Linked DNA regions of Kluyveromyces lactis. The protein of the gene in region 2 purifies or fractionates together with the protein of the main gene of each other region. This does not show direct contact. Links are inferred from orthologs where the notes say so. Each region holds a gene or a part of one and is shown on either strand. Other genes may lie near its edges. The genes, in order: SPT7, SPT15, TAF12, TAF3, TAF4, KLLA0_D06831g and TAF7.

Evidence for each region.
Region 1: the proteins of SPT15 (region 2) and SPT7 purify together in Saccharomyces cerevisiae (affinity purification with western blotting; 3 studies listed by BioGRID, with this or other methods). This does not show direct contact. The link is inferred for Kluyveromyces lactis from reciprocal best matches to the Saccharomyces cerevisiae genes SPT15 and SPT7.
Region 3: the proteins of SPT15 (region 2) and TAF12 purify together in Saccharomyces cerevisiae (affinity purification with mass spectrometry; 11 studies listed by BioGRID, with this or other methods). This does not show direct contact. The link is inferred for Kluyveromyces lactis from reciprocal best matches to the Saccharomyces cerevisiae genes SPT15 and TAF12.
Region 4: the proteins of SPT15 (region 2) and TAF3 purify together in Saccharomyces cerevisiae (affinity purification with mass spectrometry; 3 studies listed by BioGRID, with this or other methods). This does not show direct contact. The link is inferred for Kluyveromyces lactis from reciprocal best matches to the Saccharomyces cerevisiae genes SPT15 and TAF3.
Region 5: the proteins of SPT15 (region 2) and TAF4 purify together in Saccharomyces cerevisiae (affinity purification with western blotting; 7 studies listed by BioGRID, with this or other methods). This does not show direct contact. The link is inferred for Kluyveromyces lactis from reciprocal best matches to the Saccharomyces cerevisiae genes SPT15 and TAF4.
Region 6: the proteins of SPT15 (region 2) and KLLA0_D06831g purify together in Saccharomyces cerevisiae (affinity purification with western blotting; 7 studies listed by BioGRID, with this or other methods). This does not show direct contact. The link is inferred for Kluyveromyces lactis from reciprocal best matches to the Saccharomyces cerevisiae genes SPT15 and TAF14.
Region 7: the proteins of SPT15 (region 2) and TAF7 purify together in Saccharomyces cerevisiae (affinity purification with mass spectrometry; 5 studies listed by BioGRID, with this or other methods). This does not show direct contact. The link is inferred for Kluyveromyces lactis from reciprocal best matches to the Saccharomyces cerevisiae genes SPT15 and TAF7.

What each region holds. Positions count from the first base shown.
Region 1 is NC_006041.1:1,117,448-1,121,441, reverse strand, and holds the start of SPT7 (SAGA histone acetyltransferase complex subunit SPT7), read right to left. Parts: upstream 2,801-3,994; coding exon 1-2,800. Other genes in the region: KLLA0_E12563g (uncharacterized protein), read right to left, coding at 3,701-3,994. UniProt on the Saccharomyces cerevisiae protein: Component of the transcription coactivator SAGA complex. SAGA acts as a general cofactor required for essentially all RNA polymerase II transcription. At the promoters, SAGA is required for transcription pre-initiation complex (PIC) recruitment.
Region 2 is NC_006041.1:892,707-895,402, forward strand, and holds SPT15 (TATA-binding protein), read right to left. Parts: upstream 1,267-2,696; coding exon 565-1,266; downstream 1-564. Other genes in the region: PEA2 (Pea2p), read left to right, coding at 1-195; cohesin-loading factor complex subunit SCC4, read left to right, coding at 1,914-2,696. UniProt on the Saccharomyces cerevisiae protein: General transcription factor that functions at the core of the DNA-binding general transcription factor complex TFIID. Binding of TFIID to a promoter (with or without TATA element) is the initial step in preinitiation complex (PIC) formation.
Region 3 is NC_006040.1:1,375,638-1,379,021, reverse strand, and holds TAF12 (Taf12p), read right to left. Parts: upstream 2,094-3,384; coding exon 558-2,093; downstream 1-557. Other genes in the region: snoRNA-binding rRNA-processing protein DIP2, read right to left, coding at 1-138; NEDD8 ligase DCN1, read right to left, coding at 2,375-3,142, 3,232-3,369. UniProt on the Saccharomyces cerevisiae protein: Functions as a component of both the DNA-binding general transcription initiation factor complex TFIID and the transcription coactivator SAGA complex.
Region 4 is NC_006042.1:2,524,090-2,527,115, forward strand, and holds TAF3 (Taf3p), read right to left. Parts: upstream 1,586-3,026; coding exon 536-1,585; downstream 1-535. Other genes in the region: mRNA-binding protein RRP12, read left to right, coding at 1-343; RET3 (coatomer subunit zeta), read left to right, coding at 2,244-2,813. UniProt on the Saccharomyces cerevisiae protein: Functions as a component of the DNA-binding general transcription factor complex TFIID. Binding of TFIID to a promoter (with or without TATA element) is the initial step in pre-initiation complex (PIC) formation.
Region 5 is NC_006039.1:526,672-529,687, reverse strand, and holds TAF4 (Taf4p), read left to right. Parts: upstream 1-1,371; coding exon 1,372-2,472; downstream 2,473-3,016. Other genes in the region: RCL1 (rRNA-processing endoribonuclease), read right to left, coding at 1-782; PLB3 (lysophospholipase), read right to left, coding at 2,998-3,016. UniProt on the Saccharomyces cerevisiae protein: Functions as a component of the DNA-binding general transcription factor complex TFIID. Binding of TFIID to a promoter (with or without TATA element) is the initial step in pre-initiation complex (PIC) formation.
Region 6 is NC_006040.1:588,310-590,980, forward strand, and holds KLLA0_D06831g (uncharacterized protein), read right to left. Parts: upstream 1,404-2,671; coding exon 1,395-1,403; intron 1,287-1,394; coding exon 525-1,286; downstream 1-524. Other genes in the region: AIM41 (Aim41p), read right to left, coding at 1,912-2,469. UniProt on the Saccharomyces cerevisiae protein: Functions as a component of the DNA-binding general transcription factor complex TFIID, the RNA polymerase II associated general transcription factor complex TFIIF, and the chromatin-remodeling complex SWI/SNF.
Region 7 is NC_006038.1:736,574-740,698, forward strand, and holds TAF7 (TATA-binding protein-associated factor TAF7), read left to right. Parts: upstream 1-1,393; coding exon 1,394-3,601; downstream 3,602-4,125. Other genes in the region: MTF1 (RNA polymerase specificity factor), read right to left, coding at 1-917.

The DNA.
Region 1 (3,994 bases), about 220 kb from region 2:
ATTCTTTGAACCTTAGCGGTTGTTGTGAATTTTTGGGTTTATTTGGATTTTGTAGTGCTCTAATCAAAGAAATTTTATGACATATATGCCTAATCTCATGTATCAACTGGATATTCGTGTTCATTTTTGGACTCAACCCCTTATCGACAGTATTCAACAAAGAGCTCTTCATTACTTTTCCTTCCTTCATAATTTTTTGAACCATAGCTTCCTCAGCTTTATCTAATTGTTCTTTCCCAATACCTGTATATGCCAAGTCCGGGATATAATTAGTGATGTTGTACTCTGTCAATAACGAAGAATCTTCGAGAGTGATTTCATTCGATTCTTTAGTCAAGGAACTTTCGGCATCTTGTGATTTAACGTTCGTGTCAGAAAAATTCGATACACTGCTATCTGCTTGGTTCATTATTGCCCCAAAACCGTTTTTCATCATTGACTGTTCTTGTAATTTTTGTCTTGCAAATTCTGCTTCTTTCTGTTGCTTATACTCCTCGAAGAACTGATCAAAATTCTTTAATTTAGAAGGATTTTTCAAGAGGGCATCAGATTCGGAATTAATTTTGTGTTCGTTGAACAATTGTGATCTTTTCAAACAAATTTCAGCACGGGCTTTGGCTGTAAGTGTTTTCCATGTGGACAATTCCAGATCGTCCTTATCGTCATCTCGTTCAAGAAGCATCATTCCAGCGGCATTATCTTCTTCATCTTCATCCTCTTCCTCTTCCTCTTCTTCTGCATCCTCATGTTCTTGGTTTTTTTCAACAGTTGACACTGCTTTACTTTCAACTGCTGGTTCAGTAGATTCGTTATTAGTCGAAGATTGAGCCACTTTGGAGCCTCTCCCCTCTGCAGAAACTATGCCAACTTCTGGCGTTTGTTCAGCTTCGTTAGTGGAAGGTGTTTTGTCACTGCTTACTGTTTTATTGGTGGATTGTTGTTGATTCCGTTCAGCATCAGTTGCTCGTGTTTTTTTACCTCCAGGATGGTTCTCTTCCATTTCTTCTTCTTCATCGTCAATAACCTTTTGAACACCACGTCTCTGAATACCCTTACGACCTGAACCAGCATCCTCTTCATCGTCTTTAATGTTGCTCTCGGCGTCTATATCTTCTAGTTCTTTTTCAACTTGCGCTCTATCACGGATTGTTATATCTGGTATTAGTGGTACTAGTTGTTGAGATTTCTTCTGCATCGCAATTGCATGGGCTCTCAAGAAATGCTTAGGATCCGAGTTATACGTGAGGCAGTTTCTCCATATTAACATAATATCATCAACAAACTCATGTTTAGATTTATACTGAAAAGTTTTGAGCTTCTTCAGCACAGTGTTCAAATCCATTGGTTTTTTAATTATTTGGTAATAGTTTGGAGCTTCTCTCTTGCTGACTTTGTTAAGAAATGCAGTAGAATGCTCTGTGAAATTTCTGAGTTCCAGTACCACCTTCTCGCATGCATCGTATAATTCTTCTTGTCCAATTTTATCTTCAGAAGCCCATTTAGATCTGTTCATTCTAACATCCATTAATAAATGTTTAAGTTCGTAATCTGAAATATCTAGCTTACTTTTATTTTCCTGTACCGATTTGAGCAAATGCCTTAATGACAGATTTACGACACCGAGGTCCATTTGGATATCTGCTTTAGTCTTAGTATTGATCTTCTTATCTGCCGCAGACTTATGATGAGATATGCTAGGGTTCCCTGAGTCATCCTCTTCTTCGTCTTCAATCTGTTCGTGAGACCTTTTCCTTGAGCTTTCTAGCATTTGATCATTTTCCTGAAGTTTTAAACGCCTCATAGTGGTCTCTTTATCATTGTCAAAGAGATGATATATTTTGTGAAAGTTACCGATGATATCGTAGGTATTTACAGATGGAAGTTCGTTCAAAGTTTCCTTTGAGATGATGAAATGCAGTCTTATGAGTCCGTTATCAAGTTGCTCGTAAATTGGCGATTCAGTTTCATCTGACACTTTGGGTTTCTCATCAAGATCATTAGGATGAGAGATTTTTCCATTTTCTGTATCATTTTTTTCTATCTTTTGAGGATCTTCTTCAGCATCATCGTAATTATCCTCGTCGTCGTCATCATCATCTTCATCATAGTTATCATCTTCATCAGAGCCTTCTTTGTTTTCGCTATTCTTGCTCACTTCTTTCATAGTCAAGGGTGCTGTGTCATTTGTAGGAAGCGTGGAAGAGTTGGGAACCGCACTTTGATCTATAAGAGTATTATTACTTCCATCCTCTATTACAGCGCTATCATTATCCGTGTCAAGTAGAAGGTATTCTGAGGATGTTTCTGGCTCAAGGAGAGTGAGTCCATGTTCCCATACAACGTACCTGACTTTCATAGATAAATTTCCTATAAAATCCAGTCCATCTAGCTGGGCCTTCAATTGTTCCAAATCGATCATATCACTGTCGTCATCGTCAACACTTTGGTTATCAGTCGAATCATGTAAAGGAGTGCCAGTTCTCGAGAGTCCAGAACTAGCTTGAGGTTGTTGTTGTGTTGATAATGATGGTAATCTGGTAGCCGCTACCAAATCATTAGTGGCACCTTTGTCGGAAGTTGCATTAAGAGTTGTATTCAGTTCTACAAATAGTTCCAACTTGCCGGAGAGAAACGCATCCCATATAAGTGTCTTTGATTCTTGGTCTGGTAGACTCAACAAGTACTTCAATAAAAGTAACTGACTCGGATTGAGGTGCTTTTTAAATACATCATCTGCGAATAACTTCTGGATGGTTCGAAGTATTGCGGCGGCATCGGACCGCTGGTAACTTGTAATCATGGACAGTCAACTTTTTCCGCAGAAAGAACCACTAGAGTAAATAAAGAGTAGTTTTGAAGGAAAATTCTGAATCAATTCCTTCACTACCAGCTCGCTTGCCTCTCGTTTTACTGATACAAGCTGTAAACGGCACGACTTTTGAGTGTATGGTCCGAATCTTGTTTGTCCATCAGTTGCACCGATTGTCTGTGTTTTCCAAAATTCACGAAATGTCAAAAAACATCAAAACGTATAAAGTGATATTGGGACAGTCATACGGCTTATTCGTTTCAGCGGCGCTTAGCCTTAACATACAAGAGTTGAGTATCCAACAGCTCTACCCAGTTGTATCTATATATATAGGACTAGTTGTGGTAGGTTTTTAGTACCTAGGTAAGCATTGATAAATTGATTTTCACTAGCTAGAATGATCAGGCGTATGTCTCTCCATTTCTATAATTGTGACCAAATTGGCACATTCAGAAACCAATGTCTGTGGACAAAAACCAGTCTTGAAAAGTCTTGAAAAATCTTGTATAATTATAACCAATGGTTCTAGCTTACCTGTCGGAAACAGTCGTCTAATGGAAATGAAATATATCAAAATTATACGGTATATATACCTACATGTACCATGAGCACATACACAATATAATATAAAGAAAATTGGTGCGTTAATATATATACTATTCTTTCTAATACTTTAAACCTTGAAAGCTTGAAGTTGAGAATTGTGTCAGAAGAAGTCCAAAACGATGTGAGTTGAAAGTACCGATAACAAAAAGGGGTAGGATATACAATGGTGGAAGGTTTGAGTATTTTTTTAGTCGGATTAAGATGATATTACTTTCCGCCGAACCCTGTCCTTTTGTAGTATTCTTTTCTTCGGTTCATTCTTCTTTTTTTTTTGTTATATTTCTTTCAAATAGCATACTTCTTAGTCCATTCTCTAGCAGTAGCCTCGTACTTAGCTCTATCGGTCTTATACAAATGAGCGATTTCAGGGACCAAAGGATCATCAGGGTTAGCGTCTGTTAGAAGAGAACAAATGGACAACAAGACCTTAGAGATAGTTAAAGCTGGAGACCATTGATCTTTTAGGATATCTAGACAGATGTTACCATTAGCGTTGATATTTGGGTGGTAGATCTTAGTGGTGAAAGAGATCTTTGGTGGTTTGAAGGGGTAATCTGTTGGGAAATGGATTGATAGGAA
Region 2 (2,696 bases):
TCACAAGCAATTTCCGAATCCAGTGACATCAAATCCTCAACATCTGCTTCTAACCATCAATCTTTCTCAATGATGAAGCAAGAATTTAAACGAATCTTAGCTGATACTCAGTTAAGATACGAAAAAGAACTAGAACAAGAACGCCTGTTGAGACAACAGTTGGAGAACAAGTTGGAAAATAAAGGATACCGCTAATCGTTTTATGTTGCCCTTAACGATCCAAAAATACTAGCATTAAACTTCAATATATTGTTGAAATGTAATTAACTTTGTAACATTATCTAAGACAGAATTCCTCATCCATTTCAAACTCAAGCTGGAAACCATTTACCGATGGCTATTAGTCGTTAAATTTGTGTATGAACTATATGATACATAGAGTAAGGTGCCAATAATAAAGACTTCTATTATAGCAGAATGGATATGAAAAGACAATAAGGAAGGAAAGATAGAAGGAACAAAGGGTTTTCTTGCAGAAGACGAGACAAAACCTCCGAGAATCGAATTAGTGCATTGTTTAATAAAATAAAAAAATGAATTTTTATAGTACCATCCAATAAAACATCATAGCTTCCTGAATTCACTCAACACAGGGTAGATAGCTTCAAACGCTTGATAGATTTCTTCTCTTTGTTTGGCACCAGTTAAGACAATCTTGCCGGAAACGAAAATTAGTAACACAATCTTAGGTTTCACCATTCTATAGATAAGACCAGGGAATAACTCTGGTTCGTATGAAGAGAAAGTACCGTGACTGAATGCTAAACCTTCTAAACGGATTGGGAACTTCACGTCACATGAGCCGACAATATTTTGGATCTTGAAATCAGTAAACTTGGCACTGAACCCAATCTTTTGAATAATTCTGGCATATTTTCTACTAGCCAACTTGGAATCATCCTCACTCTTAGCACCAGTAACAACCATCTTACCAGATGCGAAAATCAATGCAGTAGTCTTCGGTTCTCTGATACGCATAATCACAGCCGCAAAACGCTTTGGATTGTATTCTGCATTACGAGCGTGTAATGCTACCGTCTTTAGATCCAACCTACAGTCCAAATTCACAGTGGCCACAATATTCTGTAGGGTTGGTATGATTCCCGAAGTGGCAGAACCTTTATCTGCGTCTTCCGCATTAGCATCTGTTCCAGGTAAAGATTCATGTTCTTGTTTTTCTTGAGTTTCCCATACTGATCGTGTACTTGGATCAAATACTATCTTGTTTTCCTCTTGGAACTGTTTCATTCTATTTTCTTCTGACATCTTCTTCTAAGCTAAGCTGCGGTAGTAGAGTTTAACTTGATACGATATACTCGGAACAGTTGATAATAAACGAACGCTGAAAGATGGCTTCTTGAAGTATTTCACCAAACAATTGAAAGTCTTGAAAACCAAAGAAGAAAACTGTCTTCAAAAAAAATAGATCGTGTAGGAGTAGCAGATAGTATACAAGTATTGATATAACTTAAAGGGCTGCCTCAGAAATACACGACTTAAAACTGCAATCTTTGTGTGTTGACTGGTTTTTCCTACTTGTTCTACGATTTATATTTGGTTTCCTATGTTAAAAAGTTGTAAGCGGGAAAGAAATCTGATGAAGCTAGGTCACATGATCAATTTTCATTAGTATGATGATGAATCACCAGAGTAGACTTCTTTGACTTGTAAACAGTTCAATCATGTCATTTCCAAACCTGTTATTTGATGAAGTTATACCATGTCGATCTGAGTACATCGGTGGTTTACTTATTGTCTTCTTTTTGTCGTGGATCCTGGTTCCCTTATATATTTCAAAGTTTCATATAACCATTTTGCCCTAGAATAATACACGTCAATTAACGTGTCTCAAGAACAGCATATGCCCATGCTGAAAATAGCTTCCGATTGATGTATGATACACAATACTAGCTATGGACACCTTCAAAGATGAGCTGCTAAACGTTCCGATCTCTTTTGATCAAAAGTCCTTGAGCAGAAAAGCACAGCAGTTAGATTTGATATATCATCTCTCGAAACAGTACACTTTGACTGCACATGATGTTGTTACGGAAATTGAAACTGAATTGGAACTTCGTCAGTATTATACATTGATAAATCAGGCTATACGATGTCTGCGATATTTGAAGGATGGCGGTTTCCAGCTTTCATTAGAGCAAGATTTTCAGATCACTAACGATCTTGTTACGTTATTGATTGAAGAGACTCATCGCATTGATCTCGCAGAGCAATATTTTTCAGCACTCAGAGAGAGGTTGCAAAGTACAACATGGGTCAATGAGAAGATGTATGTGGATTACGTTCTTCTTTGTAAGATCCCGCTGTATAAAAATGATCCAAGTCATAATAAGATTGCACTACGAAATCTATCCAAGCTTATATCAAAGCTCGATACGTCTCTTTGGAAAGTGCTGTTTCAATATTTTAGATTGCAGTTGATTCCAGGCAATGAAAGGAAGTTGGCTGATTATAGAGATATTCTGTTCGTGATCAAAAACCATGAACAATTCCATTTCGTTGTGATGTGTTCGTTTATTAATTACTGTCTCGATGAAGGGATCAGCATACCAGCTGATATGTGGGTTTATTTTAGTGAAATGGACACAGCTCATGTCAAACTTAAAATATGGAAAATACTCTTGGAGCTCTTAGTTTTAATCTTCAAGGACATTAACATTACTGATAAGCTCACAGAA
Region 3 (3,384 bases), on a different chromosome or scaffold from region 2:
TATTTGAATATTCTCCAGAGCACCTGTAATTAGCTTGCCAGACGTTGAGTTCGTAGCTGGAAGATAGATCGACTGATTTGAAGTAGAAATTAACCCAAAAAGACCACTTTGTTCAAAACGTTGATACGATTTAACCATTGTGTATCAATTTAAACTCCACACTGCGGATAATAGTAGCAATAACTGATATCTTACACAGGGTTATAGTATATAAGTTTTGTTATACTTGTTCTTGAACAGCATTATGCGATGAGATGAGATGACCTTCCATAGTTTTTAACGTTTTGGAAAATTTTGAAAAATACAACTTGAAGCCATGAAAAAGAAAAGGGTGGTTTATACATATATGAGACAGGCAGAATAGGACAAAGAGTATTAAGAATCAGTTTCCCTGGACTTGATTATGCATTGTTGTAGGTACTCATCCACTTCTCCATTTTCAATATTTTGAGGAATTGTTACATTAATAGATATATGATATATGATGTATAATATATGCATCAAATTAAGTCTGTTTGAATGAATGAACTTGTTTAAACAGTGGTAATTTATCCATTTCACTTCTTTTCGGGATGTGTACGTGCAGTTTTATTGTTATTGATTGCATTTACCATTTGATTGTACGAAGGGGTTGGATTCCATTTCTTGGTGCTACGGATTTCATCGTTGGCAAACCCTGGGATTCTGATATTCCAATTACGTTCCAGATGCATTTGGATGTCTCTTACGTCGAGTGAATCGGATTTTCTATGTTTTGCCAATTTACAGGCGAAATTCGTAACATTAGTAATGAAATCGTCTGCTAGATCGAGTAATAGCTCTTCCACATCACCATCAATGGTGGTTTCACCATCACCTTCGTCTATACCCACCGTTTTGACGAGTTCACGGAGCTTTCTTTTAGACATCACACGCTCAGTATCGACCTCATATGGCGGTAGTTTGGTCATAACAGGTGTAGTTAGCGCTGGCGCGTTCATACCACTACCGCCTGTTATCGTAGGTCTGTTGCTTCTGTATGACACTGAAACTGTTGGGGATGCGGTGACATTTTCACTTATTGGTATCGATGGGTTTGGTTGCTTGAAGATTGGTGGTCTTGTATTGCTTTGTGCTGTTTGATTTGCAGCTGCATTCACCGTTGTCACCTGCATTGGGGACGATTTGTCAGAAGCTGTGTTATTTGGTGCGGCAGCTGCTGAGCTCGGGTTTGCGTTTGTTGCAGTTGCAGTAGTTGCAGCGGTCTTTTGAATTGGTATATTTTGTCTTTGCGCCATAGCATTTGGAGGACTACCACTCGAAGCTTTATTCAAACTTGTTGGAATTGGTGTACCGGTGTTGGTTCCTGGAGTAGAAACACCAGCCTGAGGTCCCGGTGTACCTGCATTTGCAGCTACTGTACCCTGTGACTTAGCAGCATTAGCTTTTTGTTGCTGTGCTTGTAGATATCTTCTTAAGTCAGCATTAGTTTGAGAACACTCAATGTAAAACTTTCTTCTGTCCTCTTGATATTTCTGTTGTAATGTCGAATACTGGGCACTCAATGCCCTGATTTTCATTAATAATTCATTCCTGTTAACCTCTAATTGCTGCACCGATAGACTGTTACCTCGTCTATTCCTGATCTCTTGGTCCAAAACACTAATATTTCTCTTCAAAAAGTTGAATTCTCCCTTGATATTCTGACCGTCATCCTCATACTTTTGAACCAATCTATTGTAAGCTTCACGCTGTTGAGGAGTTAATAAGACCTTTATGTTATTCGTCACATTATTGGAACTGGCGGTAGCTTGTTGTTGCTGCTGCTGTTGCTGCTGCTGTTGCTGCTGATCCATGGATTTAACATTCGTGGCATTATTATTTACAGCTCCCTGTGCTCCAGCCTGCGCTTGGGCCTGCTGCTGCCTCTGTTTACTGTAAGCCTCGTACAAAGCCTTAATACGGGCCGCTTGTCTCAATAGCTCTTTCCCTTCCTTGGTATCTACACCAATTCGCTTAGCTTCGTTAACTAACGATTTTAGTCTATCCGCCAATTGCTGCATAGAAGCTGGCGTGAGGTTCTGCAGCTGTACATTACCTGCTTGGCCTGACATTGTCCGTATCTTGGTTCGTAATCCGAAATGCACACCGCAAGCCCACTTTAAGTGTCGAAATACCCTCGTGCTGGCCTTCTTTGCCCCCGTTTTGCCCTTGCTTTAACCTCGCGGCAACTACTTTCGATTGTTATTCACTTGTTGATCTTTGAAATATTTTTGAATTTTGATGCTGAAAGGAATAGGAAGACAAGTGTTACCCTGACAACATACACAATGCGTATATATGAATATATGTATCTATGAATATGTTCATAAGCGATATAGGTGTTTGCGCTGCATCACAGCTTGTCATTTTCTTCCAAGAATTCGTAATATTCGTCTATAAGTAGCGGCCAAGCAGCCATTTCATCATAGTTTTGTTTTAAACTTTCGTCATTGGGGTATTGTTCAATGAACTTATAGAACATCAACCATATATCGTTTGAGATGTTCTGTTTCCTTGGATCCGAGTCGTCAGAATTGATGAATTCAAGCCATGAATTAAGTCTCTCCTTGGAGATTTTCAACGCATATTTATTGTCTTTAAAGAAAATATTCCAGTATTCTATTGCGACATCTTTAGGTAAATGACGAGATCCCTCGTCTGTATTCAATGGGAAAGTGTAGGAATAGATTGATTTGAAATAATCTTTGTCCGTCTCCAGTCTCTCTTCTAGCGTATGTAAATAGGCTTTCATCTTTCTTAAAGTGTCGCAACATAAATCTGACCAGGCATTTAGGAATTGTTCTCGAGATACTGGTTTTGTTAAATCGTCGATGCATAGCATTTGAGAAAGACATAGCGTGATTGGGTCCTCTATCGATATACCGAGGTCTTCAATAAACCGTATTAGCCCAGAAGAGTCCCATTCTGTTGCCGAAACGCCATTCGAGTACTTCTCAAAGATAGCCACTAAACTGGGATTGTAAGATTGACGCATACCTCCAATGGTATCCACATTATCATAATAATCGTTCAAAGCGTACTCGACACGCCCTCCATTCTTTCGAAGGTATTCCTGTGCAACAGAGTACGTGCATCCTGTGAGGTTCATGAACTCTTTCTCCTATTTTTCCAAATGATTATTTGATTAGCATTTGTTAGTAAAGGTGTCATTCACCTGACCAGAGGGTAGAGGCATAGTAAAAAACATACCATTATAAAAACACAATACGATGAAATTTCTGAAGGGTTGTTATCCACGAGTAAATGATCGCTTGCTCTGGCGTTTTGTCGCGAGTAGATTGCTTTCTTCTTTACCCTAAAACTCGAAACGAATATGAAGTAAAACATGTAATTTCACTTAAA
Region 4 (3,026 bases), on a different chromosome or scaffold from region 2:
AAATAAAAATGAAAGAAGAAGGATTGTCGATGATGAAGTGTTCAGCTTTGATGCAGAAGGTAAGTTGGTTATGAAAAACGATAGGAGAAGAGGAGAAAATAACAATGAAGATCCGTTAGAGGCTATTACCAGTGGTGTTAATGCATACTTAGATGCTGTCAAACAAGGTCCAGTAAAGGGTCAAAAGAACAGACTAAAATTCAAAAAAGGATCCAGAGCTGGCAATGAGGATGATTTCAGTGATGATGAACAGGAAACCAAGCTACCAAAAACAAAACCAGCTGAAAAGGGAAGAATTGGTAAAAAATCCAATGGTAGATTTAAAAACAAGAGGAGATTATAAATCACTTTTACCTGATATGCACTGCAACGCCCTAGCCCATTTATCAATTTGATAGTTGTATATAGATGTATAGTAGAATAGACAAAATCGGAACCAAAAGATTGTTACATGTGATTGATTTGAAAACAATCGAGTGAGAGTGCGATTGTTTTGTCGTAAACATGAACTAATTTTGTGTTAAACAAATTATATTTATATATCGTATGCGTGTCCAAAATCCAAAGATGCCCTTCTTTCAAATGTATTTTGCATGTCCTCCATTTCGTCTAACTCTGTGGTAACTACATTGCCTAAAGTTAAGCCTCCCGTTCCAGAGGTCTCAAAATCATAATCCGTTTTATCAATATCGGTGTAGTCTTGCTGATCTTCCTCCGTATGGAGGGGTTCAAGTAAATCGTCAATATTCTCATCTTCATATGAAACAACTATGTTTTCTAACTTGTTATTTGGGTTACCGATAGGTAACTTTGAGATGAGTCTTTTCAGAACTATTTGCTCTGCTGCGTCTTCAGTACTTTCCTCTTTTCCTTCTTCATCTTCGTTAATTTCGATTCCAACTGGAATGCATGAATTGGTAATGATAGGTCGACTTCGGCTTAGTTTAGAGTATTTTAATCCAGGAATTGACGGTAACGAAATGAGATCTTGAGGAAGTTTCCCCGACTTCCTCTTCGCAAGTTCTAATTTTTGTGATGTCAACATGAATTGTATCCAGTCATCCATATCCCCGTTGTTTATCATTGCTTCCACCAATTCTGTCTCATCATCTCCATCGTTAGGCTTTTTGTCCGATGTATTCAGCTGGTTGATATACTCCGGAATCATTGACAATGGTTTACTAGTTTTATCACCAACTTTCAACAGGTCTGGACTTGGGGTACTGATAACTCGTGCTTCTGTTGTTGCGGGATCTTGAAGTAACCATCTTTTAAACTGTTGCATACCTTCATCGCCTGCCACGGACGGGTTTTCATCGTAAACATCCAGTAGGTTCATTGGTTTAAATACGCCGATATTGAGCATTCCTTGGGTAATATCTTGAAGGGACACTTCTTCATCTAAATCACGGCGATCCAGAGTAAGTTTCCGTATTTCTTGAATCATCAGTTCTAGATATCTCACATATAAATCAGTAAAAAGATTAACTGTCCCCATTTTGGCTCTATCGAAGCCATGTGCCCTTAAAAGGTGTATCATTGAAATTCGCAGCAGCGAAAAGTAAAAACTTTCATCAGTGGTCATAATTGTGAGGAGCTGAGTAAAGCAATAACACTTTGCTTGCTCAATGCTTAGAGCGTAGAATATACAAAATACTGCAAAGTCTTTGCAATTGGCCGGTATTTAACTTATGATAAATAAATCAAAGTAAATACTGCTTAGTAAATCAATCAGTGTCCTCGAAGCTCAGTACTGGTTGCATTCTGCATCGAACGAACCCCACAATAGACAGTTTTCGTTAATGTATAGTATTTGCATGGCTAACCTACTTATCAGACAGTAAAAGTTACAAGTTCCTTCTGTGTTTTCCATTACCCGGAAACAAATCACGTGATAAGAGATTCGATCAAACACTTGCTGTTTGGCGTTACTGGAGCATAAATCCGTATTCAATGATATCAACAGGCTTTCATTGCCATGGAGCTTTTTACATGGACAGCTTTACAAGACATCCAAAGAAGGCTACTGATTCTAATTACAGGAATGGGCAATGGTTGAGAGCTGAATTCTGCCTCTCTCGAGCGCAGTTCCTATTTGTCCTATATCTTGTCAACTGCAAATTTGGAATTTTCGCGTACCGCCAAACCAGCACTTCCCTCCTGAGACAGTAAACCATTGCATCAGTACTGAATAACACGAATAGCATACCCTGGAAGTAACCAAGAAGAAAAACATAAACAACATGGTTAACTTATCTCTATACACAGTTAAAGCTGTGTTGATTTTGGATGGAGAAGGAAGAAGACTTTACTCGAAATACTTCCATCCACCACACGAAGAAATTTCTGCAGATTCTCTTGCATCCAGCTTAAAGAAGCAAAAAGAGTTCGAATCTAACCTATTTGCTAAAACTCATGGGCAGAATTCAGACATTATGATATCAGACGATCTATTAGTTATTTACAGAGAATATGTCGATGTTTCGATATATCTGATCGGTGCAATCGACGAAAACGAAATTGTTTTGCAAGAAGCATTCAACGGGTTCAAAGATTCCCTAGAATTGATATTGGATACAGGTATTGACAAGAGGAGTGTTCAGGAACATTATGACATGGTGGTTCTAGCAATTGATGAATTGATTGATGATGGTATTATCTTAGAAACTGATCCAGCCACAATTGCCTCTAGAGTGACGAAACCGCCTTCAAAGGATATCCCATTGAATATAGAATTGAATGAAAAGGGTTTGCTAAGCGCGTGGGGCTTTGCCAAGAGTAAATTGGCTGAAAGATTACAGCAGGGCTTGTAAGCTTCTCCTCATTTTCCAGATTTCTTTTATAATCAGACACATATGTTTACCATCGATATGTAAATACTGTGTGAATGTCTTTGCCTCTTCTAATAAAGATGAAACTAAGATAAATATAAATATGAAATACAGTACTTTCACTTTATATGCTAATTAGTTGATTTTAATATGACAGCGTGAAAACTATTCGATTGGTCAAACATATCTCTGAAT
Region 5 (3,016 bases), on a different chromosome or scaffold from region 2:
TCACCGATAGCTTCAGAAAAGATTCTCCATCCTTGTTTGTTCTCTGCTACGAGCGTTAGACCCCAACCTGGACTTTTACCTGAGTTTTCACCTCTCCATACATCTGCAGTTATATTTACTTCACAACTAGCAGATTTAAGAACTTTTTTCGCACCATCAATCATTCTATTTACAAGGGAGGGACTGACTCTTGTGGAGTATGAAACACCTCTTATACTTGAAATCATTGTTTTATCCAAGGCGTGCATTGTAATCGGTTGTGCAATCAATGAATCCACAACAAGGTGTACTTCACCACCACCTAAAGGAGGTGAACCTCTCTTCAAAGTATGTAATGCACATTCCCTGACGCCAAATTTTTCCATAATCGGCATCAACCCCCATTTTATCGCATCTATTCCAGCATCATTATGTGAAGATGTTATACCACGGAATAGGATTGAGAATTTCTTCTTTGAGAAGGGGGCTAAATACAACATTGGCTCGGCAAAATAGCCCACAGGTTTACTGTTCGGACATTGATGTGTGTATGAACCACCAGTAATTATTCCTGGTCTGAAGATGACGGTGGTACCAGTGTATGAAATTTCTATTGAACTACCATTCGTTACCGCTTCCATCAATCTTAGAAAAGAGACTTCGTAATCTTTTAAACCCGGATTTAGGTCATCAGAACGTATCTTTTCTATCTTTATAGCTTTTCCTGACAATGTAGCCATTACTACTCGTAAACGAAAGTTCCGTGAACCTTCAAAGGTTACGTATCTGGAAGAGGATGACATGTCCAATTTGTCTGTTTGTCTGTCCTACTTCGTGAGGAATAAATTTCCTGATAAATCTCTTTAGAGTTTTTAATACAGAAAGTGACCTTCTATCGGACGCTAATGGAATGGTTGATGGAAGTTAACTGAAACCTTTCGATATTGGTTTTGTGTTGTATGTTCAGTTAGGCGATGAGATGAGATGAGATACGCTTTTGACAAATTTTTTGCAAGGAAAAGAAATGAGCTTCGTTACCCGGATTATGTGATCTTTCAATCTTGAAAAAATCAAAGCCAGCAAACAATAGCATCTAAATGAAGAAAGAGGTAGGAACTAGATAGAACTTTTTAGCATAATGTTTAATACTCGCACGTTTTTTTATCTTTGTTGAAATCATTAAGGTTGTACGTTTTTCGCTGAAACTGGATTTTAATTGATAGGCCGCATTTGGACCTGTTTTTAAAGATTGACTTATTCTTTTCATAGTTTATTTGCCTGCATTTTTGGGACAAGTGCAATAGGTGTCCTCAAGTATCCAATACGATTCTTTTTACCCCCGTGTTTCACCAGAGAAAACTATCACTATTGGTCTAATTAGTATAAAATACGATGGCAAAATCGCCCAAGAGAAAGAATTCTGAACCGGAAGATTTATCTTCAAATAAACGTTCCAAATCATTCGAATTTGGCAAAGTAGAGAACGGGCTGGAACCCAGTGGCTCAGATTTTGGCAGTGATCTGCCTACGCCATTCGATACTATGGTTACAGAACAGCCATTAGCTCTACCTAAAGCATCATCTCCAACTACAAACCTAGCATCTCCGCGAAACTCAAGTACGCCAAATTTGAAGACGACGAGTACGACAAGCAAACAATCACAGAAAGCAGAACAGAAGAAGAATGCCGGGGGTTCAACAGGTAGTACGACTGCCTCAACTACAAAACCACAGCAAAGTGATCCAGACAAGCTTAGTGATGCTTTGTTATCGGCCGGTGTTGATATAAGAGAGGAAGAGGCATTGCTAAGTAGCACAGTTGCTAGAACAAAAGCAACCGGTATTTCAGCAAATAACCAGGTCCCATCTCATCCTCCATTCCTACATCCTAAGAACATTTCAGATTTCATGAAAAGAATTGCATCAGAACAAAACTTTCATCAAGATTTCAATAAAAACACTGATATACTCGGATTAATGTCTACTGCATGTGAACTTTACATGAGGGACGTGATAACGAACTCTTTAATCCTATCCATACATAGACGGAAAGGTGTTAAACTAAACACGGGAAGGAGGAGTGAAGTGAGTCGTTCTTTGAGGGATTTAGCATTAAGACAAAAGACTCAAGAAGAAAGAAGAGTACAGAGAAGAATAGCACTCGGTTTAGAAAAACAAACAACGGATGCTAGGTTAGATACTGAAGAGACTCAATATCGTGCATCAAATGCAACTGCCAATTTGATGATTGCAGGGGGTAACAAAAAAAAATATAGTTGGTTGACCGCTGGATCCAAGTCCAGCTCGACAGACCTAAAAAATCAGGGAAATGTTTCATCTGCTGTTGCAGCAAGGGGTGAAATGGGTATCAAATATAGAGAAGCAAGAGAAGAACCTGGCATCGTTATGAGGGACCTTCTTTTAGCTTTAGAAAATAGGCGAGTAGGAGTTAATAATGTTATCACTAAAGGATATGCTAGAATCAGAGACTAGCATTTCCAGTTACTTTGAGGAATAATATGAGTTTCCGAGATGTTCTGTAGTATGCATACTTATATAATATAAACCTTTCGATAAATAACATAGAGACTCATACTTGCATGCGAGATTACTTTTCCTTTTCTACCTGACATGTCGCATATTTAATATTTAAAGATAGTTTTCATTTTTTAGTATCTAAATACTCAAAATCACGTCAGAGACAAATAAAGTTTAAAAAAAATAGAGTTTATTAAACCATTACTTCACACGACGCTTTAATAAGTACACTAATGATCGACGCAATTCGGTACCATTTATCGTTTGTATCTATTATATTACTTTTTAACGAATCATATCAAGATACTTTTATATACTCCAGTCTTGTCAATGATTTGGTCATTGGTCAAAGGAGATCATCTAGAGAAATTGGAAACGAAGGAGGTACAATGACGAATTCATAAGAACGAATCTGCATGAACATCTGAAAACTCAATGCATATATATTTTTTTGGTTTTAGTTTGATACTCATGGGTAAACTAGAAAGAGATGAAGACA
Region 6 (2,671 bases), on a different chromosome or scaffold from region 2:
GGAGCATCTGGTAAAATAATTTGTTGAGTTTTGACTCTTATTGTTCGAGGAACGTAAGGCTGATATGTTTGTAAACAACCACTTGTTAGTGACAATGCTGCTAGTGACAAACGTTATGGCAATATTAGATTAAAACATACCATTACAAAATCTTTTTCCATTATGTTAAGTGTTGACTTGATGCCAATACAGTTTTCTATCGACGGCTTGCGGACCGTTGTGCTACAACAATAGTAAAACATAATGGAGTATTGTGATATGCTATCATGTAGAATTTGATTCAAACTATTATTTTTTTCAGAGATAAGCTCATCGGTAGGAGGTCGACAATAATTAAAGTCAAGTCCAAGGGCGAATTCAATCAAATATTTCAGTGCAATTTTCCCTAGGCTTGATTTGTCTATTCATTATAGTGTTCATTTGGTACTTTTTCTGCAAGCAGTGCCTGTTAGTGGAGATGTAAGTTATAAAATACAACTACATAATTGTAATGGTTAAATTAGATAAACATGTGAGAGGTCCGGTTACTCGGTGTTTTTCTTGACGTATTCCCATAAACTCTTCAATAGACTTTCAGGCAAGCTATATAAATCAATAACGAACTCACCTTCTTCGATATTGTTCGTAATATTCATTTCTGGAGTTTTGTTATCAGTTATCATTTGTACTACTCCAACCAATGTATCCTCGTTTAGTTTTGTTAAGCCAAATGCTAACTTTTCCAAGTTCACAGAGCCTTTCACTGTTGAAGCGGAGGCGGTCTTGGCTTTTTTCGTTTTTACATCACCATTGACAGTAGATGCTTTTCTCTTGTCACCTGGAGTGGTGGCAGCTGTCGCTGTTGCATTTGGAGTTGCTGCTGCTGTTGATGCTACTTCATCGACAGGTCCACTTTTCTCTAGTTCTGCTCTTAGAAGAGGCTTATTGGTAGGAACTTGGATTACATGATCAATTTCATAGGCATCTTTCATGAAATGTAGGTCGTGAGTTATCTTCTTCTCGCCCCCTTTCTCAAGAAGATGCGCACTTATCAACAATTCAAAGCCACCCCAGCCTTGTTCTTCAATTCTAAAAGGAGGTTCCGTGAATGTTCTATGAGGGTTTGCAAAAGTTGGATGCAAATGATACACTACCTTATCAAATATCGTGGCTGGAATTTCGTTTCCTTGTTCATCCAAAAGAACTAATTCAATGGTCCATTGACGCATAGGAAAGTTTTCTACTGGAGGTGGTACATCCGGTAGGACAGATTGCTTGGTCTTAATTCTGACCGTTCTCTTCACAGTCTGTTTCCGAAATATTGAATAAAAGGTCTGTTAGTAAACTCATTGTGAAAAGAAACCTTCTAAAAACGAACTGAAGAAGCTTTTCAGTCTTTTTTAATCATTACATACCGACACCATCGTTGGTTGATTTGATTGGGGGTTATAAGCACGTCTAATGTTTCTCTTCTGGATATTTTCGTACTTGTAATTGCCATTATTTATCTCTGAATTTGAAATTTAGTCAATTCATGTTTTCAATGTTTGGTGAAATTTAGAGGAAGTACTACAATAAGGTGGAGGAAGGCAGTTGAAGATGCATGCAAGAGTTACGATTATGCTATTGTGGAGAGAGCAAAAGACTATCATGTCCATATTCTCCCCACTTAGTAGTTACCAGAGAGTATTGGTTACTATGTTTTATCACGTGATCTGGCAAAGCATCCTAGCGAACAACATGGCTTTATCAGAAGTCTTTAGATAGAGAATTGTTCACGTGAGTCAAATCCATTGCTGCGGCTTGATATTGCATAATTGTAAGTACATTTATTTACGGGATTGATGTGCCTACTTAATCACAAGGGCGTCATTCATCGGAGTTTTTTTTTTAATGAATGACTCTGTACAAGTTTGGTTTTAGCTAGGTGATTTATTGGAACACTTTCTTAAATTGAGAGCTAATACTGGACCTGATAGCAGCTGGAGATGCCTTCAATTCGCCTGGTAGTGTTTTCCAGTCAATTTTTCCGAAGACCTGCTTCAATTGTATAGATGGCTCTGATTCTTTTAGATCTGTTAAAATCTGCACAACACGAGCGTCTACTTCCTCCCTAGAAGCAACAGGCAAGGCAGTCTGATAATTCTCGAGGATCTTTATCTCATTGGCTTCTTTCTCTACCAAATCTTCTCTCTTATTTTTAACAAATTCAGCGATGGAGTCCTTCCTTTGCGAGATTAACTTGGCGTACACATCATACAATACAAATTCATCTAGATCCTTATCCTTACTGTCAATTTCCTTGTTCTTAATTGTAGATAGTACACCTCTAATGGTTGTCTTTCTTAGGTTGTCTTTTGCAAGCATTGCCTTCTTCAAGTCTTGTTTTAATGCAGCGATCCCATCAATGTAGCCTTGAGAACTGGCAAATCTAACAAAGGTTCTGGTCGTTGCAGTAGCGCGAACGCTTGGGATAACACATCTTAACATCTTTGTATTCGCTAATGATTTGGATGCTTGTCTTGAAGATTGAACCAAACGATCAAGATTATAGAAGGTCTATTAAATGTAACGTTTCTTTGTATTTGTTCATAGGTGCCGGTGTCTTTTGGGTTACTTGAATTTTCATAGAAATTATCATCAAGATGCAATTTTATTACCGTTGATCGGTTAAGTAAAAAAAAATATTCAG
Region 7 (4,125 bases), on a different chromosome or scaffold from region 2:
TACGTCAACTCGTAAGGTTTTTTCTTCAATAAGACTGGATCCAAACGAGAAATGAACCAATCACGAGCCCCATGCCCCAAAATTTCAATCATCTCTTCTACTGGTTTGGATTTAAGGATCATTAACTTTTGCGTTACGAAATCCCAATGGTCCAAATCTATGCTGTGATCCCTAGGGTTGATTTCAACAAGTGAAAGATCGTCTGGACTTTTATTATCTGAGGGAATTATCACGGGATCAAACTTCTCTATGCAATCTGGAAGGAACTTTTTTACTGAGTTTTCAGAAGTCGCAACGAGCTTTGTATTAGTAGCTAATTCGGATAGAAGAGTAAGCCTGTTTCTGTCTTTGTTTGAAAATGGTGCGAATAATTTCCTTGCAGTTTGCTGAGGTATCCAAACTAACATCTTGACCAGACCAAATCTTTGCATCCAATTCTGGTTCGCTATACACTGCAAATATTGCACGTATAGCTGTTCACCCTTTTTATTGGTCAAATTGGCAGCGATCAAGAATTCATTGTGAATATGATCTCTTTTCTGCATGCTAGGAGTAAGGACTCTGTCTTCATTTGTCATTTCTAAAAATGTCTCCCATTTATATGGATTTTTATTGTAATTAACCATCGATGGGTGATCCTTCAAAGTTGCTTGATACAACTCCACAAATTTCAATCGATCCTCTAACAGGACATGCTTCTTTGGTTTCAGTCTTTCATTAAGTATGACTGATTGAATCAAAGGCCCGGCGTATATATCCAGTATTTGTAAGCTTTCAGACTTGTAGTATGATTCTAAATTCAACTTGTCTAATATTTGGTTTATTACCTTGGGGTTTTTCTCAAATTGACTTCCATAACTGGTATGAATCTTATTTGCTAGTGGTAGAACCGACTTCAGAAACGAACTCTTGGTCATGATTAGGAAAAATTCTGTAGTGTATTTGACAATAGAGAACGGATATTGTATATTGGAGCACAGAACTCATATAGAAGGTGCCAGTTCCATCCAATGAGTGCAGATCTGCTGTGACTTGTTTACAACTTTCATCTGGACAAAATGAAGCGATGAGTTGAAATATGAGCTTTTCCATTTTTCAATTCGGAATTTTATAGTGATGATGACGCTGGTGTTATAAAGACACCTAGGATAGTTGCGAACTATAAGCTATGATCATCAGAAGTTTCAAACTATTTTAAGTAGTTACTCCCTGATAGTATACAGTAGTACTTTAACATGACTTGCAATGCATTAAGCCAAATTCAGCGTTAGTCTGGACGTTTCCACGTGATCAAAACTCGCTTCAAATTACATAATGGAGGAAATCGTGAAATTGGAAATAATGTTCGACGGAAAATGTTTAGCTATCTAGATGTACAGTGAAAGTAAAATGAATGGTTGACCCAATTGGTGTGACACATACGACAAGGGGTCTCTCAAAAGACAGTAAACATTCAGTTTTAGTACAGTATCCCACAATGGGTCCGATAATCAGAATTAACAAACCCAAGGAGCCTGAATCAGGCGGTGGAACGGAACCTAAACTAAAAAAGATCAAGTTAAAGACTGGAGGAAGCAGTTCCAGCAGCAATAATTCCAAGCCTGCACCAAAGCTTAAAATCAAACTGAAAAAGCGTGATAATCAAGAGGATAAAGATATCAGCAATAATAATAATGTGGGCACTTCGAAGGGAAGCTCGCGGCCCATGAAGTTAAAAATCAATCTAAAAAAACGGGAAGATTCACATCCACAATTAGTGCCGCACTCCCAATCGCATCAGCAGCAGCAGCAGCGCAAAAGTACGAGTGTTGTCAAGACTCCTAAGTTCAGAATCAAACCTGTACGAGTTCCCGGTGAAGGGTACGATTCTGAGGCCAGTGATGTAGAGGATGATCCGCTAATCGAGGAAGGTATAATTCTAAGAGTATTACCAGATTTGAGTGCAGAATTCGTTAAAAACTCTATAGAGAGTGGTGATTACTCTGATGTCAGTATCAAATGGAAGGGTGAGAGACACGCGGTTGTGAAAGTGAATGGGGTGCAATATGGTGCTGTATTAGTCAACTTGCCAAGTATAATCGAAGTTAACAAGAGTGTTGACAGAAAGAACTTATTGAAGACGTTTGACGTTAGTCAGATGTTAATATGTGTTCGTACAGTGAATAAGGAAGAAGAAGTGTTTTCTTTGCAAGTAAGCGATACGGAAGATCTTACTAAGAAACATTTTGAAGAGTATCAGAAGGAAATTACCGAGCAACGGAAACAGCAACTCAGAGGGTACAATGGCGGCCCATTGACTGATGCTGAAAGTAAAAACATCGAACAAATCATAAACAAGCGTTACGATTATAAGCATGGTATCACCCCTCCTTTGTATAATGCTCGCAACCGTCGCTTCAGACATAGGATGGGACCAACTGCCTTTGATTATGTGGAACGTACTGTTGAAAAATTATTGAAATTAGATGCTGAAGCTGAAGAGTTCGGGTACGAGCTAGTTAATGAGGATGCAATTCAACAGCAAAGGTCTACAAGTGCAGCAGATCTTGCACATTATCAAAAGGCTGGTGAGCATATGGATGAAACATCTTCTGTTGGCTACAGCCAAGAGATCAAACCACATCATGTTACAGGTGCCGCGGAAGAAGATGAGGAAGAGGATCATGAAGAAGATCTTGAATTGGAATTGGAACAAGCTCTACAAACAGAAACTACTGATGGTTCTATACCGGCAAGCATGGTTAATGGACCGGCTGGAGCAGCGATGTCTACAGATACTGGCAGTGTTGTAAGACCAGGACAACTTCTTGAGGAGACCGGTGATGACGTTGAACAAGATAACGGTGATGATGAAGACGAAGAGGAGGAGGACGAAGAGGAAGAAGAGGAGGAAGAAGAGGATGAAGAAGAGGAGGATGAAGAGAACGGTGCTGATGGATTATCCGGATCAGTTACAACAGGAACAACTAAGTCACGTGTCTCAGACAACGATGGTGCTAACGAAGAAGAGCAACACAGAGAATTATTACTTGATGAATTGAGGGAACTAGAAAGTACGTTAGAATTAAACCGGAATAAAGCCAGTAGGACTACGAATCCGTTGTTAAAGACAAGATTCTTAGAAAGTATCAAGAAGCTTGAGAAAGAAGTTGAATTGAAACGAAAACAGTTAGGAGAACCAGTTGTTGTAGACGATGCAGGAAATGTACAGACAGCTCAAGACATCTCAGAAAACGTACCCGATACTGAAGCCGGTGCAGTATCGAACAAGGCCGCAATCAGAAATGGCAGCGTTAGTAGCGGTGGTAGTGGCGTAACCGGATCGGCATCAATTCCAAACAATGCTACGATTACCAATGGAGTGGAAAACATTGGTACCGAAGGGAATCTTTATGAGGAGGAGGATGAACTAGAAGAAGAGGAAGAAGAGGAGGAGGAGGAAGAGGAGGGAGAAGAAGAGGAAGAAGAAGAGGAAGAGGAACAGGAAGAGCAACGGCCGGACGAAGAACCGCAACAAGGACAAGAAGCAAGACAAGGTACTGAAGAACTTGATCAAGATGACATGGATATGATGCTTCTTTTCGGAGCGGATAACGATTAGGTTTGAACTGAGAGAAAAGAAACCACTAAAAGAAAAACAAAAACAGAAAAAAAATCAATACCCGAAGAGACAATAAGAGATACGTGATGATTTAGCATGTTATCTGAGTTTGGAATAGCATTACAGCTTCCCATGCTCTACAAGGGTGAACGATATGACTGAATGCCTGAACGAATGCGTGAATGAGTTGTGTAATCTGAATGTATAACTGAATTTATCTAGAAGCATTTTTTTTTTTTTTAAATTCTTTAAAGGGAAGTAGAAACAAGAATCAAGACAGGCAAGGAAGTAATGGATGGAGATCAATGGGAAACACGGGGCAACAACAAGAGGAAAATTACGAATGCGAACCTCTTCTCGTTTGCCGAAGCCTCTTGACGACGGCACACAAAGGGAAAGAGGCAGCAGGTGTTAAGAGGCACCTCACTTCGCCGTTTCTTTTTACTGCCTACAGAGCGGCTGAAAGAAAAAGGCCCTGCCATGTACATCTCAAAAAGGTGAATTGCGCAAAAGAAGAGCCAAAG